Linked DNA regions of Xenopus tropicalis. The protein of the gene in region 1 purifies or fractionates together with the protein of each later gene. This does not show direct contact. Links are inferred from orthologs where the notes say so. Each region holds a gene or a part of one and is shown in the gene's direction. Other genes may lie near its edges.

Region 1 (7,354 bases):
ACAAGTTGAGAACCGCTGGTCTAGTTGAACATAGGAAAACTACCCACTTTCAGGGGATTTTTACAAAATCTGTAGAATGGTATTGGATGAGGGGCAACAGTAGAGAAGCTAAATTCAAGTAACTCTCCAAAAAATGTAGAGGGGGTGACAGCTCAACAGGGCTCTGTGCTTCACAATGGAGAGAGAGAGCGGCCGCTGTTCCCATGATGCCCAGCGCATTGGGCAAAAAATAAAAAATGGCAGATTGAGGCCTTTACAGTACACTGTGGGGAGTATTGTGTGAATGGCCCCTATGGGAGACAGGGGAACAGCACAGACACTGCTCCCAATAGCAATCTTAGTAACAGAGAGATATAAACCAATTGAACAGCTGCCTGCAAGTTACTATCAGGCCTATTTATGAACACAGCGCCCCACTTTTCACAAATGTTTCCCCTTACCTCTAGCCCTCCCTTACCTCTAGCACTCCCCCCTTACCTCTAGCCCTCCCTTACCTCTAGCCCTCCCCCCTTACCTCTAGCCCTCCCTTACCTCTAGCCCTCCCCCCTTACCTCTAGCCCCTCCCTTACCTCTAGCCCTCCCCCCTTACCTCTAGCCCTCCCTTACCTCTAGCCCCTCCTTACCTCTAGCCCCTCCCCTTACCTCTAGCACTCCCCCCTTACCTCTAGCCCCCTTACCTCTAGCCTCTAGCCCCCCTTTACCTCTAGCACTCCCCCTTACCACTAGCCCTCCCTTACCTCTAGCCCCCCTTACCTCTAGCCCCCCCTTACCTCTAGCCCCCCCTTACCTCTAGCCCCTCCCTTACCTCTAGCCCTCCCTTACCTCTAGCCCCCCCCTTACCTCTAGCCCCCCCCTTACCTCTAGCCCCCCCCCTTACCTCTAGCACTCCCCCCTTACTTCTAGCACTCCCCCCCTTACTTCTAGCACTCGCCCCCTTACTTCTAGCCTCCCCCTTACCTCTAGCCCTCCCTTACCTCTAGCCCCCCCTTACCTCTAGCCCCTCCTTACCTCTAGCCCCTCCCTTACCTCTAGCCCTCCCTTACCTCTAGCACTCCCCCCTTACCTCTAGCACTCCCCCTTACCTCTAGCCCCCCTTACCTCTAGCCCCCCTTTACCTCTAGCACTCACCCCTTACCACTAGCCCTCCCTTACCTCTAGCCCCCCCTTACCTCTAGCCCCCCTTACCTCTAGCCCTCCCTTACCTCTAGCCCCTCCCTTACCTCTAGCCCCCCCCTTACCTCTAGCCCCCCCCTTACCTCTAGCCCCCCCCTTACCTCTAGCACTCCCCCCTTACTTCTAGCACTCCCCCCTTACTTCTAGCACTCCCCCCTTACCTCTAGCCCTCCCTTACCTCTAGCCCTCCCTTACCTCTAGCCCCTCCCTTACCTCTAGCCCCTCCCTTACTCTAGCCCCTCCCTTACCTCTAGCCCCTCCCTTACCTCTAGCACTCCCCCTTACCTCTAGCACTCCCCCCTTACCTCTAGCCCCCCTTACCTCTAGCACTCCCCCCTTACTTCTAGCACTCCCCCCTTACCTCTAGCCCTCCTTACCTCTAGCCCTCCCTTACCTCTAGCACTCCCCCCTTACCTCTAGCCCTCCCTTACCTCTAGCCCCTCCCTTACCTCTAGCCCCCCCCTTACCTCTAGCCCCTCCCTTACCTCTAGCCCTCCCTTACCTCTAGCCCCTCCCTTACCTCTAGCACTCCCCCCTTACCTCTAGCCCCCCTTACCTCTAGCACTCCCCCCTTACTTCTAGCACTCCCCCCTTACCTCTAGTGCCCCCCTTACCTCTAGCCCTCCCTTACCTCTAGACCCCCCCTTACCTCTAGCACTCCCCCCTTACCTCTAGCACTCCCCCCTTACCTCTAGCACTCCCCCCTTACCTCTAGCCCCCCCCTTACCTCTAGCACTCCCCCCTTACCTCTAGCGCCCCCCCCCCTTACCTCTAGCCCTCCCCCCTTACCTCTAGCCCTCCCCCCTACCTCTAGCCCTCCCCCTTACCTCTAGCCCCTCCCTTACCTCTAGCACTCCCCCCTTACCTCTAGCCCCCCTTTACCTCTAGCCCCCCCTTACCTCTAGTGCCCCCTTACCTCTAGTGCCCCCTTACCTCTAGCCCCCCTTTACCTCTAGCACTCACCCCTTACCACTAGCCCTCCCTTACCTCTAGCCCCCCCTTACCTCTTAGCCCCCCCTTACCTCTAGCCCTCCCCCCTTACCTCTAGCCCCCCTTACCTCTAGTGCCCCTTACCTCTAGCCCCCCTTTACCTCTAGCACTCACCCCTTACCACTAGCCCTCCCTTACCTCTAGCCCCCCTTACCTCTAGTTGCCCCCTTACCTCTAGCCCCCCTTTACCTCTAGCACTCACCCCTTACCACTAGCCCTCCCTTACCTCTAGCCCCCCCTTACCTCTAGCCCCCCCTTACCTCTAGCCCTCCCCCTTACCTCTAGCCCTCCCCCTTACCTCTAGCCCTCCCCCTTACCTCTAGCCCTCCCCTTACCTCTAGCCCTCCCCCTTACCTCTAGCCCCCCCTTACCTCTAGCCCTCCCCCTTACCTCTAGCCCTCCTTACCTCTAGCCCCCCCCTTACCTCTAGCCCTCCCCCTTACCTCTAGCCCTCCCCCTTACCTCTAGCCCCCCTTACCTCTAGCCCTCCCACCTTACCTCTAGCCCCCCCTTACCTCTAGTGCCCCCTTACCTCTAGTGCCCCCTTACCTCTAGCCCCCCTTTACCTCTAGCACTCACCCCTTACCACTAGCCCTCCCTTACCTCTAGCCCCCCCTTACCTCTAGCCCTCCCTTACCTCTAGCCCTCCCTTACCTCTAGCCCTCCCTTACCTCTAGCCCCCCCCTTACCTCTAGCCCTCCCCCTTACCTCTAGCCCCCCCTTACCTCTAGCCCCCCCCCTTACCTCTAGCCCTTACCTCTAGCCCCCCTTACCTCTAGCCCTCCCCCCCTTACCTGTAGCCCCCCCTTACCTCTAGCACTCCCTTACCTCTAGCCCTCCCTTACCTCTAGCACTCCCCCTTACCTCTAGCCCCCCCCCTTACCTCTAGCCCCCCCTTACCTCTAGCCCTCCCCCCCTTACCTCTAGCCCCCCCTTACCTCTAGCCCTCCCCCCCCTTACCTCTAGCCCCCCCTTACCTCTAGCCCCCCCTTACCTCTAGCCCTCCCCCCCTTACCTCTAGCCCCCCCTTACCTCTAGCCTCCCCCCTTACCTCTAGCCCCCCCTTACCTCTAGCCCCCCTTACCTCTAGCCCTCCCCCCCTTACCTCTAGCCCCCCCTTACCTCTAGCCCCCCCCCTTACCTCTAGCACTCCCTTACCTCTAGCCCCCCTTTCCCACAAGAGCGCTCAGATTCCCCTCATTCCTACTCATACCATTCCGTGGGACAGGCAGCGCCGCTTCTGGTCACGTGATAGGGAGACGAGCGCCTTTTCCCCGCCTACTCCTTAGTCACATGTCTGTAACCGTCACTTCCTGCGAGCTATGGTTTAAACGGCTTGAGCGGCGTTGCTATGGTGACCGCCCCAGCTGTTGCGTGACTGGGAGAGAAGAGAGTAGCGAATGCGGAGAGAGAGGCGGCGGGACCGCGGCATGTGGTGAGCGGGAACCGGGTTAGTAGGGCAGGGGGGATGGGGCAGGGCTACCGGGGCTACTGGGGCTACCGGGGCAGGGTGAGAGGAAACCGGGGTACAGTGTGTGGGTGCGGGCTCAGAGGGGGAAGGAAAGAAGGAATCCGTGAGGGGCAGGAAGCAACGTTCCCTCTAATTTTTTATAGGCTGTGTGCGCAAAAAATATCATCCGTGCGCATTTTAAAGCAAGATTAAATTTTTGTGCGCTACAGAATGTTTGTTGGAGTTCAGTTATGGGCATTTTTGCGCAGGTCTTTCAGTTTGTCTAAATCAAGTTACAAAAATTAAATTTTTGTGCGCGCTATTTTAATTTGTGTGCGCGGGTTCGGAAAGTCGTGTGCGCGCGCACACGCGCACAGCTTAGAGGGAACAGTGGCAGGAAGGCAGCAGGTTCCAGTGATTGGTGCCCTGACTGAGAGGCAGATTGTGTTTGGCTAAGGGGGCATCTTCCTGGGCACTGGGGGGAGTATGGCAGGGGGGGGGGGGGAGTTGGCAGGGGGGGGGGAGTATGGCAGGGGGGGGGAGTATGGCAGGGGGGGGGGAGTATGGCAGGGGGGGAGTATGGGCGGGGGGGGGGGGGGCTGGGAGCGCTTGGTTTCCCAAAGTGCAACTTTCTCATACAAACTGCTGTGTGTGTGTGTGTGTGTGTATATATATCTTTTTTTTTTTTTTTTTTTGTATTATTTTATTAAGCCCTGGTAGTTAAAACTCATAGCAGAGTATATTTCCCTGGGTAGGAACTCCTTAGCTGCGGGGCTCTCCCCAGTATGTAGTGGCTATGGGGAGTAAAGCCGGCCGTACCCTCACATATTAGCCTTCCGACATCCCAGTATGTAGTGGCTATGGGGAGTAAAGCCGGCCGTACACACTCACATATTAGCCTTCCGACATCCCCAGTATGTAGTGGCTATGGGGAGTAAAGCCGGCCGACCCTACATATTAGCCTTCCGACATCCCCAGTATGTAGTGGCTATGGGGAGTAAAGCCGCCGTACACACTCACATATTAGCTCTTCCGACATCCCCAGTATGTAGTGGCTATGGGGGAGTAAAGCCGGCCTGTACACACTCACAAATTAGCCTTGCCGACATCCCCAGTATGTAGTGGCTATGGGGAGCCGGCCGTTACCCTCACATATTAGCCTTCCGACATCCCCAGTATGTAGTGGGCTATGGGGAGTAAAGCCGGCCGTACACACTCACATATTAGCCTTCCGACATCCCCAGTATGTAGTGGCTATGGGGAGTAAAGCCGGCCGTACCCTCACATATTAGCCTTCCGACATCCCCAGTATGTAGTGGCTATGGGGAGTAAAGCCGGCCGTACCCTCACATATTAGCCTTCCGACATCCCAGTAGTAGTGCTATGGGGAGTAAAGCCGCCGTACCCTCACATATTAGCCTCCGACATCCCCCAGTATGTAGTGGCTATGGGGAGTAAAGCCGGCCGTACACTCACATATTAGCCTTCCGACATCCCCAGTATGTAGTGGCTATGGGGAGTAAAGCCGGCGCGTACACACTCACATATTAAGCCTTCCGACATCCCAGTATGTAGTGGCTATGGGGAGTAAAGCCGGCCGTACCCTCACATATTAGCCTTCCGACATCCCCAGTATGTAGTGGCTATGGGGAGTAAAGCCGGCCGTACACACTCACATATTAGCCTTCCGACATCCCCAGTATGTAGTGGCTATGGGGAGTAAAGCCGGCCGTACACACTCACATATTAGCCTTCCGACATCCCCAGTATGTAGTGGCTATGGGGAGTAAAGCCGGCCGTACACACTCACATATTAGCCTTCCGACATCCCCAGTATGTAGTGGCTATGGGGAGTAAAGCCGGCCGTACACACTCACATATTAGCCTTCCGACATCCCCAGTATGTAGTGGCTATGGGGAGTAAAGCCGGCCGTACACACTCACATATTAGCCTTCCGACATCCCCAGTATGTAGTGGCTATGGGGAGTAAAGCCGGCCGTACCCTCACATATTAGCCTTCCGACATCCCCAGTATGTAGTGGCTATGGGGAGTAAAGCCGGCCGTACCCTCACATATTAGCCTTCCGACATCCCCAGTATGTAGTGGCCTATGGGGGAGTAAAGCCGGCCGTACCCTCACATATTAGCCTTCCGACATCCCCAGTATGTAGTGGCTATGGGGAGTAAAGCCGGCCCGTACCCTCACATATTAAGCCTTCCGACATCCCCAGTATGTAGTGGCTATGGGGAGTAAAGCCGGCCGTACCCTCACTATTAGCCTCCGACATCCCAGTATTAGTGGCTATGGGGTAAAGCCGGCCGTACCTCACTATTAGCCTTCCGACCCCAGTATGTAGTGGCTATGGGGAGTTAAAGCCGGCCGTACACACTCACATATTAGCCTTCCGACATCCCCAGTATGTAGTGGCTATGGGGAGTAAAGCCGGCCGTACACACTCACATATTAGCCTTCCGACATCCCCAGTATGTAGTGGCTATGGGAGTAAAGCCGGCCGTACACACTCACATATTAGCCTTCCGACATCCCCAGTATGTAGTGGCTATGGGGAGTAAAGCCGGCCGTACACACTCACATATTAGCCTTCCGACATCCCCAGTATGTAGTGGCTATGGGGAGTAAAGCCGGCCGTACACTCACATATTAGCCTTCCGACATCCCCAGTATGTAGTGGCTATGGGGAGTAAAGCCGGCCGTACACACTCACATATTAGCCTTCCGACATCCCCAGTATGTAGTGGCTATGGGGAGTAAAGCCGGCCACTGGCTACAGGGTAAAGTCCCTGGTCCCTCGAGTGTGACTTTTGCTGGTTCTCTGGTCAGTGGCACCCCAAGTCCAATGGCTCCTAACCTGATAATGGTGCTCTAACTGCACTGCAGCATTTCATAGTGCTACCCACAATGCATAGGTACTGGTTCAAATCTCCTGCTCTGTGGCTTTTGTGATTAAGGGCAGATTGGCTGCACGGGCACAAGTGTAACTGGAGCAGATGGAGTCGGCCTTTCAGCAAGTGGCAGGTTTAGGGTTTCATGTTGGTAGAAGGATCCTAAGGCAAAGGATTATCATGGGGAAGGGGTCAGTGTATAGGAGCAGGGATCCAGTATCAAGCCATACAGCGAGCCTTCAGTTTCAAAAGAGAATATATAATCACTTATTTACACCTGTTTCTCTGTTACTAACCCCATTGCACTTACACTTTGGCAATAGCAGCGGGAATCCTGCCCCGTATGGGACCAGACTCAATGTTTATGTGGCAGATCCGCTCACTTTTGTACATTCTGTTTGTGGGGAGAAGGACCGATCTTTACAAAACAGTGTTACAGCAACGGCATCCATTAGGGATTCCCCTGGCGCAGAGTTATTATGGTATGTAGATCCTATACATCAAACAAGGAATGAAAGATAAAGAGAGAGAAGAGGGGGAAAGATAGATAAAACTGAAAGGTTTGAATTGGTCTTCATTTTTTATTTGCAGTTTTTGAATTAATTAGATTTTTGTTCAGCAGCGCTTCAGTGAGGAATTACAGCAGCTATTTGGTTGCTATGGTCCAATTTAACCTAGCAACCAGGCAGTGGTTTGAAAGATAGACTGGAATATGAATAGGAAAGGGGCTGAATAGAAAGTTAAACAATAAAAATAACAATAGAATTGTAGCCTCACAGAGCAATAGTTTATTGACTGCCGGGGGCAGTGACCCCGTTTGGAAAGCTAAAGAAGAG
Region 2 (7,231 bases), on another chromosome or scaffold:
AATTAACTTACAAGCTTATTCTCAGCCACAACCACAGCAGCTCTGAAAGACACACCAACTGTGCCAGTAGCACAATAATTCAGTATCAAACTGCTAATATCACACATATCTATAACTGGTTTCATTCAGTTATCTGTGGGACCACCACCCATGGTTAGTTAATAGTGAGGGTACCATGCTATAGAATACAAGAAAAAAAACACAGCACAGATCAAACAAAAGTTGACACTATGGGTGCACAGCCTTTCTCATGATTGATTGTGACCCACAGCAACTTACTGGCACGGCTCTAGAGCAAAATGCAGGTATTTTGCACATTCTAATTCAATTGCAGAGTGATTTACTCATTTAAATGAATAATTCAGTTAAACATACAATATACAAGAAGTTCCGTCAAATTTCAGAGGTGCTGCTATAAAGTGCCATAGACAACAACTTCCAACTCCAAAGTGGGGGGAGAACATGTTCAGAAGGAAAACAGGAAACTATTCTGATGTTTCTGTTCTCAGAAATACATAGGAAAGAACATCTGAGGTTTGTAATCTCCTGCCCGAGTATAGCAACATCAGAACATATCACTTTTTCCTTCTGAACATATTGTAATTAACTGTACAGTTAGAATAACTGACCAACAGGTGGCGATGTTACAAAATTCTTATTACTTTGTGCAATTTCACATTCATTTATTTTTAAGGGTTACATTTCCTTTAAGATATGCTGCATATTCAATATTTAAATGTTGACTTACTGCTGTCATAGATTTATATGAAAGGCATTCCCTTCTTTAAATAGACATGAAGGTATAACCCACTGTGTGTTCTAAAAATCCGTCAATGCATATTTACAATGATACGTATGGGAGACAGCTGCAAAATTGTATGAGACATACAACGCCCACACCCACAAGAGAGTATGCTAGTTACTATATGCTTGAAATGAGCCAACTCAGCCTCACTCATAGCTACTGCAAATGCTGCAAATATTTTAGGCAGCAAAAGAATAAGTTGTGCACAAACCAATCACAGCGCAAACATTTACTGGTTACATATAGTGAAACCATGCAACTGGCTGGATACTAAACTAAATATTATTAAAGTTTATTGCTCATAATGTAACAAAATATGCCTTGTGTGATGCTGTATATACAGAAACTAAAGCTCTAAGGGCTCTGGCACACGGGGAGATTAGTCGCCCGCGACAAATCTCCCGTGTCTCGGGCGACTAATCTCCCCCAAATGCCATCCCACCAGCGAAAATGTAAATCGCCGGTGGGATGGCACACGCGGCGGCGCGATTTCAGTGAGATGGTGCAAGTTTCCTCTCGAGGCAACTTGCGCGATCTCACTGAAATCGTGCCGCCGCGTGTGCCATCCCACCGGCGACTTACACTTTAGCCGGAGGGATGGCAGGTGATGGCAACTCTGGGAGATTAGTCGACTGAGACACGGGAGATTTGTCACGGGCGACTAATCTCCCCGTGTGCCAGAGCCCTAAGGGTGAAGACACATGGAGCTACTAGTAGCAGCTACTTGTCCTGGCTACAAAAATAGACAATGCTGATCATTTATTGATAATTGTCTCTACCCGTGTTTTAGCAGAGGCAATTCTCAGTATTGTCTTTGGCAGGGTGTTTTCTGGCGTTTAGTAGCTGTGAAAAAGTAGCTGCTACTAAGTAGCTAAGTGTGTCTTCACCCTAAATGAGATTTCATTTCAGCTTTGCTGTCGGATGAATAAAAGGTGAAGGTAAACCCAAGATATAATGAAATTCTAAGCAGCTTTTACAATGGTTTTAAAGTTATTTGCAAATATTAATGCAGCTAGTAACCCTGGCAGACGAGTGTTCATGGCTTCCCTGTGTATGATTAGAAGTCAGAACCGGCAATGCATATAATATCAGGGGACAAACGATGTACAGCTTTCAATGACAATGGCTGGAAATCATTATTGAATCTATAGTGGAAAGCGCTAAGAATGACATTTATTATTAGGTTCGCATGTGGGGCTATAGAGAAAAGAGATACTGACGGTTCTGATGGCGGCCAGGGTGTTCTCAGGAGCATCGTGCCCCCCGCCTCTATGGGCTACTGTAGCCGCCCTCCCTTTAGGTTTCAGCACCTGCAGGGCCCGGGATTGGGGCACCGGCTCGAACCTACAGAAAACCAGCAGCAGATAGATACCGCCCGTAACCAGGGACGTGAGAAGCGGGTTCCGAGTCAGCAGCAGCAGCACAAGGAAAATGCTACTGAATGAAGCCAAGAGGCCATCACCCCACAGCATGGCGGGGGCAGATAAAAGCATACGGAGCCCAGAGACACGAAACCGGTCGCTCCAAACATACACCGGGTGTATTGACGTTGCAAGAACTACAACTCCCAGCGTCCCTCTGCCTGTGCCGCCTGCTTGGGGACGATGGAAGATGTAGTTCCGAATACCCAGCGCCGAATCCCACCAATAGCCACGCCCAGCAACCCGGAACTGTCTTGTTAGAATTCCGCCCTTAAACGCAAGTCCCTCCCACAAGTAAAAATGGGGCGTGTATCTGCCGGCCGTTGCCAGGCGCTGTAGTTGCCGCCGGAGACCTCAAAATATGGCGGGGTGGAGGCGGGTTCTGAACTGTCAGCAGCCCGGAGCCATCCCTGCATTGTTCTGCCACTGTTAACCAGCAGAAAGTGTGGAGTTGTTGGGCAGGGCGTCTGGGAGACACAATGTTTCTGTGAATGGCTTTTCATCTGTGTGGGTAAGAAATGGCTTTTTATCTTGTGTAACTGGCCATGTAGTTTATACATGGGTATCAAGTGAGGATGCTGGGACTTGCTACCATAATAATAAGGACGAATTTGGCGTGCCTTGTACTTTTCCCAGTACAGCGGGGGAATTTACTTTGAAAGTACAGAATTTAGATCTGCTGTGGGGCTGTAACACGTCCCTTTGGGTAAAGGAGCTCACCCTTTTATCATAGCTGTAATGTTCTTTCATGGCAATTGACTGGCTGTTGGGTATCTATCTATCTATCTATATCTATCATCTATCTATATATGTGTGTGTATTGGCATAGTGATGTCATCAGTTGTAATCAGTGCTTAGTAATGTAACTCATATGTATTATATGTATAATAAACAAAAAAATTCCCCCCACCTCAGATTTCCATGACTGTGCCTCTCGGTGGTCATGGGACTTCTTGGTCACTAATATTCATACATGTTACAATTGTGGGTGCATATGTATATGTAGGTTGACCTAAACCTGCGGGTCGGGCAGGCTTAGGTTGAGATTTGAGTGACCATAGTGGTTCTGGGATGGGTGCATGTCAGACTGGGGAAGAACATTCCTTCTTCCAAGGATTATCTTTCTTGGGACTAGAGGCGCACACAGAAGTAGTGTAAGGGCTGTGGCACATGGGGGCAACTAATCCCCCCGAAATGCCATCCCACCGGCTATAATGTTAATCGCCGGTTAAGGGTTGAGTATGGGCCCTAATTTGGCAACATTTCACATGTTAAGGTCGGGTGCGGGTTTAGTTTTTCCTGACCTGCACATCACTAATAAACAATAGCAATGGTGGTTTTCAGTCAAAGCATGTGCAAACTGCAGCATCATCTGTTGTTCCACTACATCTCTCAGTATGCCACAGTCATAGGCATAGGAAACCTTTAGTGTAACCACTACAACTGAACTAAAGCACCAGCATTCTATTCTAGATAATTTGATGAAGAGGGTAATATATTCCATAACAGTAGGTATGATGCTTCTACTGCCTAAACAAAACATCATATTTTGATGAAACCTGCAGTTAATATTTGCATTCCATATAAAGGCACGAGGCCGAAGGCAAAGTTGGGGGTACTTGTATTAAATAATACTTGTGTATTATTTATTATAATACACAATTTTCAGTAAGTCGTGTAACAGAAATCACTAAGCGATTATAACTGATGACATCACTAAGCACTGTTTGTAAGGATATAATTTACAGGACATGCATGCATATTATAAATATATGTGTGTATAAATAAATAAATAATAATATAGGGGAGTACTGCTACACCTATTGATTCAGGGGAATCTGTTGCTACTAGTACCTCCTGGCCAGGTGGTACAAGCAGACTTGTGCGTAATTGCTTTTGATTTGCAATGAAATGCAAGTACAGGTGCGTTAATTTTGATGAATTAGAAGCAAAGAGCTCATTACCCCTTTGCGACCGCAGTGAAATTCTGGGAAAAACAATATGGTGTGTGCACACTTGCAGAAATAAATGAGCCATATTATCTATTCTTCTTTTCTTTGATTTTGATCTTTCAAAATCTTTTTGTTTCTGTTTGTAAAAAAAATTAGCAATATTCCAAAACCTCTGTGTGCCCACCTTTACCCTTTATCCATTTATATTTTACTCCCTTAAATCCTTTTTTTTAATGGAAATATTGATGATTTATTGTTTCAAGCCTCATGATAAACCTTGTTTCTGGTTTGATGTGGAACTTTATCATTTAAATGTACCCTTTTGTAGTAACCCTGTTATTTTTCTTTCATTTGCAGAATAAGAAGAATATCTTTTTCTCCTGTACAAGCACATCATAACTTTCCATCTTCCAAAGAAACCCAGGTGTGTATGCCTAATGATTTGCTTATTCTACATTATTTCCTGTAGCTGCATCTTTTTATAACTATCTGTTCTGGGCTACTGGTCCATGTGCATTTTTCTGTTTAGTCTGGACCCAACTGAACCTGCATTATTTTAATTTTTTTGTATTTCTGCTGATATATTCTATAGTGCTTTACAGAAATCATTCATCAGTCCCATTATGTCATGCCCCAGTTACGCTAACCGTGTAAGGACCCTTTCATGTAAATACTAGGGATGCACCAATTCCAGGATTCTGTTTAGGATTTGGCTGAATCCCAGGACTGTTTCCAGGATTCAGCTGAACCAAATCCAACCCCCAAAAATCATATAATGGCTCTGGGCAACACAATGCAATTTTTTATTTATATTAAATGTGAATATTCAACTTACAGTTCAGAATTGGTGTAGTATTCAGTAATCTTTTTTGAAAGATTGAGTATTCAGCCAAAATAAATAAAAATTATGGATTCAGTGAATCTCTATTACATACAGTGAAGTCATTTTAATTAAGAACCTGCTGCCTATTTATGTTTTGGCATGCAGAAGGTAACTGGAGTTCCCAGAGTAAACTCTCACAAATAGGGAACATTCAATCCATGCAGATAGTACAAGTCTGGGGCCTATTATCAAGAATGCTCGGGACGTGGGGTTTTTCAAACAAGGGGTCTTTCCGTAATTTAGACATTAATTAAACCTAATAGGATTGTTTTGCTTCCAATAAAGATTAATTATATGTTAGCTGGGATCAAATACAATGTTCTGCTGTAATATTACGAGAGAAAGAAAATCATTTTAAAAAAAAGTTGATTATTTGATTATAATTGAGTCTGTGGGAGATGGCCTTCTGGATAACGCATTCCATGCCTGTACTCAGGTTGGAATTGAATCTACTGTAATAAGATTTATTTTGAACCCAAACGTAACCACCCCACAGGTAATCAGTGTAACATAGGTATGTATTTTGACATTTTCTGTTTTATAAATATATCCATTTGAGAGAAGAACTAATACTCATCCACCCTATAATTATAATTAATAGCACTCTAGCTGGGTTATTGACTTCCATTTTTCCAATCGGCTCCTGGTTAATGGTTGCTGTCAGGGATCCTAAAACAGAATATGACATATAACAGATTTATAAAAAATGTTAGAGTTTACCATTTGATGAGTACCCTTCTAAAAATCCCATAGGTATGAATAGAGAGTGGGAATTTTACTGTGGTGAAGTCTAATTTTAAACAACTTATGAAAAATCTGCCCCTTAATGTACAGAGCTGAAAGCTCCAAAGCTGAAGGTCAACCATTATTAAAATAAACAGATTTTGAATGTGTTCTTTAGTTCTTAATATAGTTCTAAAATTCACATGTCATAAAGTCACAGTCAGCATATTTAACTATTATTTCTTGATCCCAGAGATATTCATAGATAAAAACTGGCTTTTCTGGTCAGGTAAGCAACCATAGCACTCCTGGTGCTCATCAACAATATCATATGCAGGATTTGTGCCAGAAAATGTTCTGCTGTCATACCTATAACTCTTACACCATCACTTCTTTAACACTTAGGGCTGGTTTAATAACATAGTTCATAAATCTCGCTGTTGCCAGCCTGTTAATTGGCTTATCATAAGCTGACCGAATTGTTTTCATGTCTCAGAAAGGAAAGTTAGTACATCAGCTAATGCTCACAATAAATCTCTTCAACATCTGGACTGCTTTACATTGAATTCAAGCATCCATTTCTCCAAGGCTGTGTATTAGTCCCTATTGTAAAACATTAGGTTACTAGAAATCATGAAAGAGTTCCTTTACCGTATAAAGCCACAAGGCCTGACCCTAACCACATAGGTCATAGAATGCTGATGTGACTTATAATATCCTCATATTATCACCTCAGGGTACGCATAATTGTTTTTAATGTGCAAGTCTTACTGAGTCATGTGACACAAATGTAATCACTAAGCTTGCATTATAATTAATGATATCACTAAGTGTATAATTTACAAGGTATTCATTGATGTTCTGTATTATAAATATATATAAAATTGTAACATTGTGAATCAGAAATCCTTGCCTGTCAAATGCAGATGTAAGCCAGATATATAATGTATTTACAATAATAGTACAGGTATAGGACCTGTTATCCAGAATGCTCGGGACCAAGGGTATTCTGGATAAGGGGTCTTTGCGTAATGTGGATCTCCATGCCTTAAGTCTACTAAAACAATAATTTAACCCAAATAGACTGTTTTGCATCCAATAATGTTTATTTATATCTTAGTTGGGATCAATTACAAGGTACTGTTTTATTACTACAGAGAAAAAGAATAGCAGTTTTAAAATTCTGAATTATTTGATTAAAATGGAGTCTGTGGGATGGGCTTTCTATAATTTAGAGCTTTTTGGATAACGGGTTTCCTGATAAGCGATTCCATACCTGTACAGTTAATGGCCCTGTTATCCAGAATGGCTGGGGTTTTCTTGATAAGTCTACTAAAAATTCATTTAAACATGAGTTAAACCCCGGAATATGTAGTGTATAGTACAGTCAACTCACAATGCTAAATAAAGTTGGGCAGCACTGGTCTAGATTTTCTAAATTGTGTAA

Evidence for each region. The genes of interacting proteins can lie anywhere in the genome.
Region 2: the proteins of kif24 (region 1) and ccp110 purify together in Homo sapiens (co-immunoprecipitation; 4 studies listed by BioGRID and IntAct, with this or other methods). This does not show direct contact. The link is inferred for Xenopus tropicalis from reciprocal best matches to the Homo sapiens genes KIF24 and CCP110.

What each region holds. Positions count from the first base shown.
Region 1 is NC_030677.2:211,303,390-211,310,743, reverse strand, and holds the start of kif24 (kinesin-like protein KIF24), read left to right. Parts: upstream 1-3,488; 5' UTR 3,489-3,598; exon of another isoform or gene 3,599-3,613; intron 3,614-7,354. UniProt on the Homo sapiens protein: Microtubule-dependent motor protein that acts as a negative regulator of ciliogenesis by mediating recruitment of CCP110 to mother centriole in cycling cells, leading to restrict nucleation of cilia at centrioles.
Region 2 is NC_030685.2:31,809,094-31,816,324, forward strand, and holds the start of ccp110 (centriolar coiled-coil protein of 110 kDa), read left to right. Parts: upstream 1-2,507; 5' UTR 2,508-2,737; intron 2,738-4,535; 5' UTR 4,536-4,602; intron 4,603-7,231. Other genes in the region: gde1 (glycerophosphodiester phosphodiesterase 1), read right to left, coding at 2,026-2,298.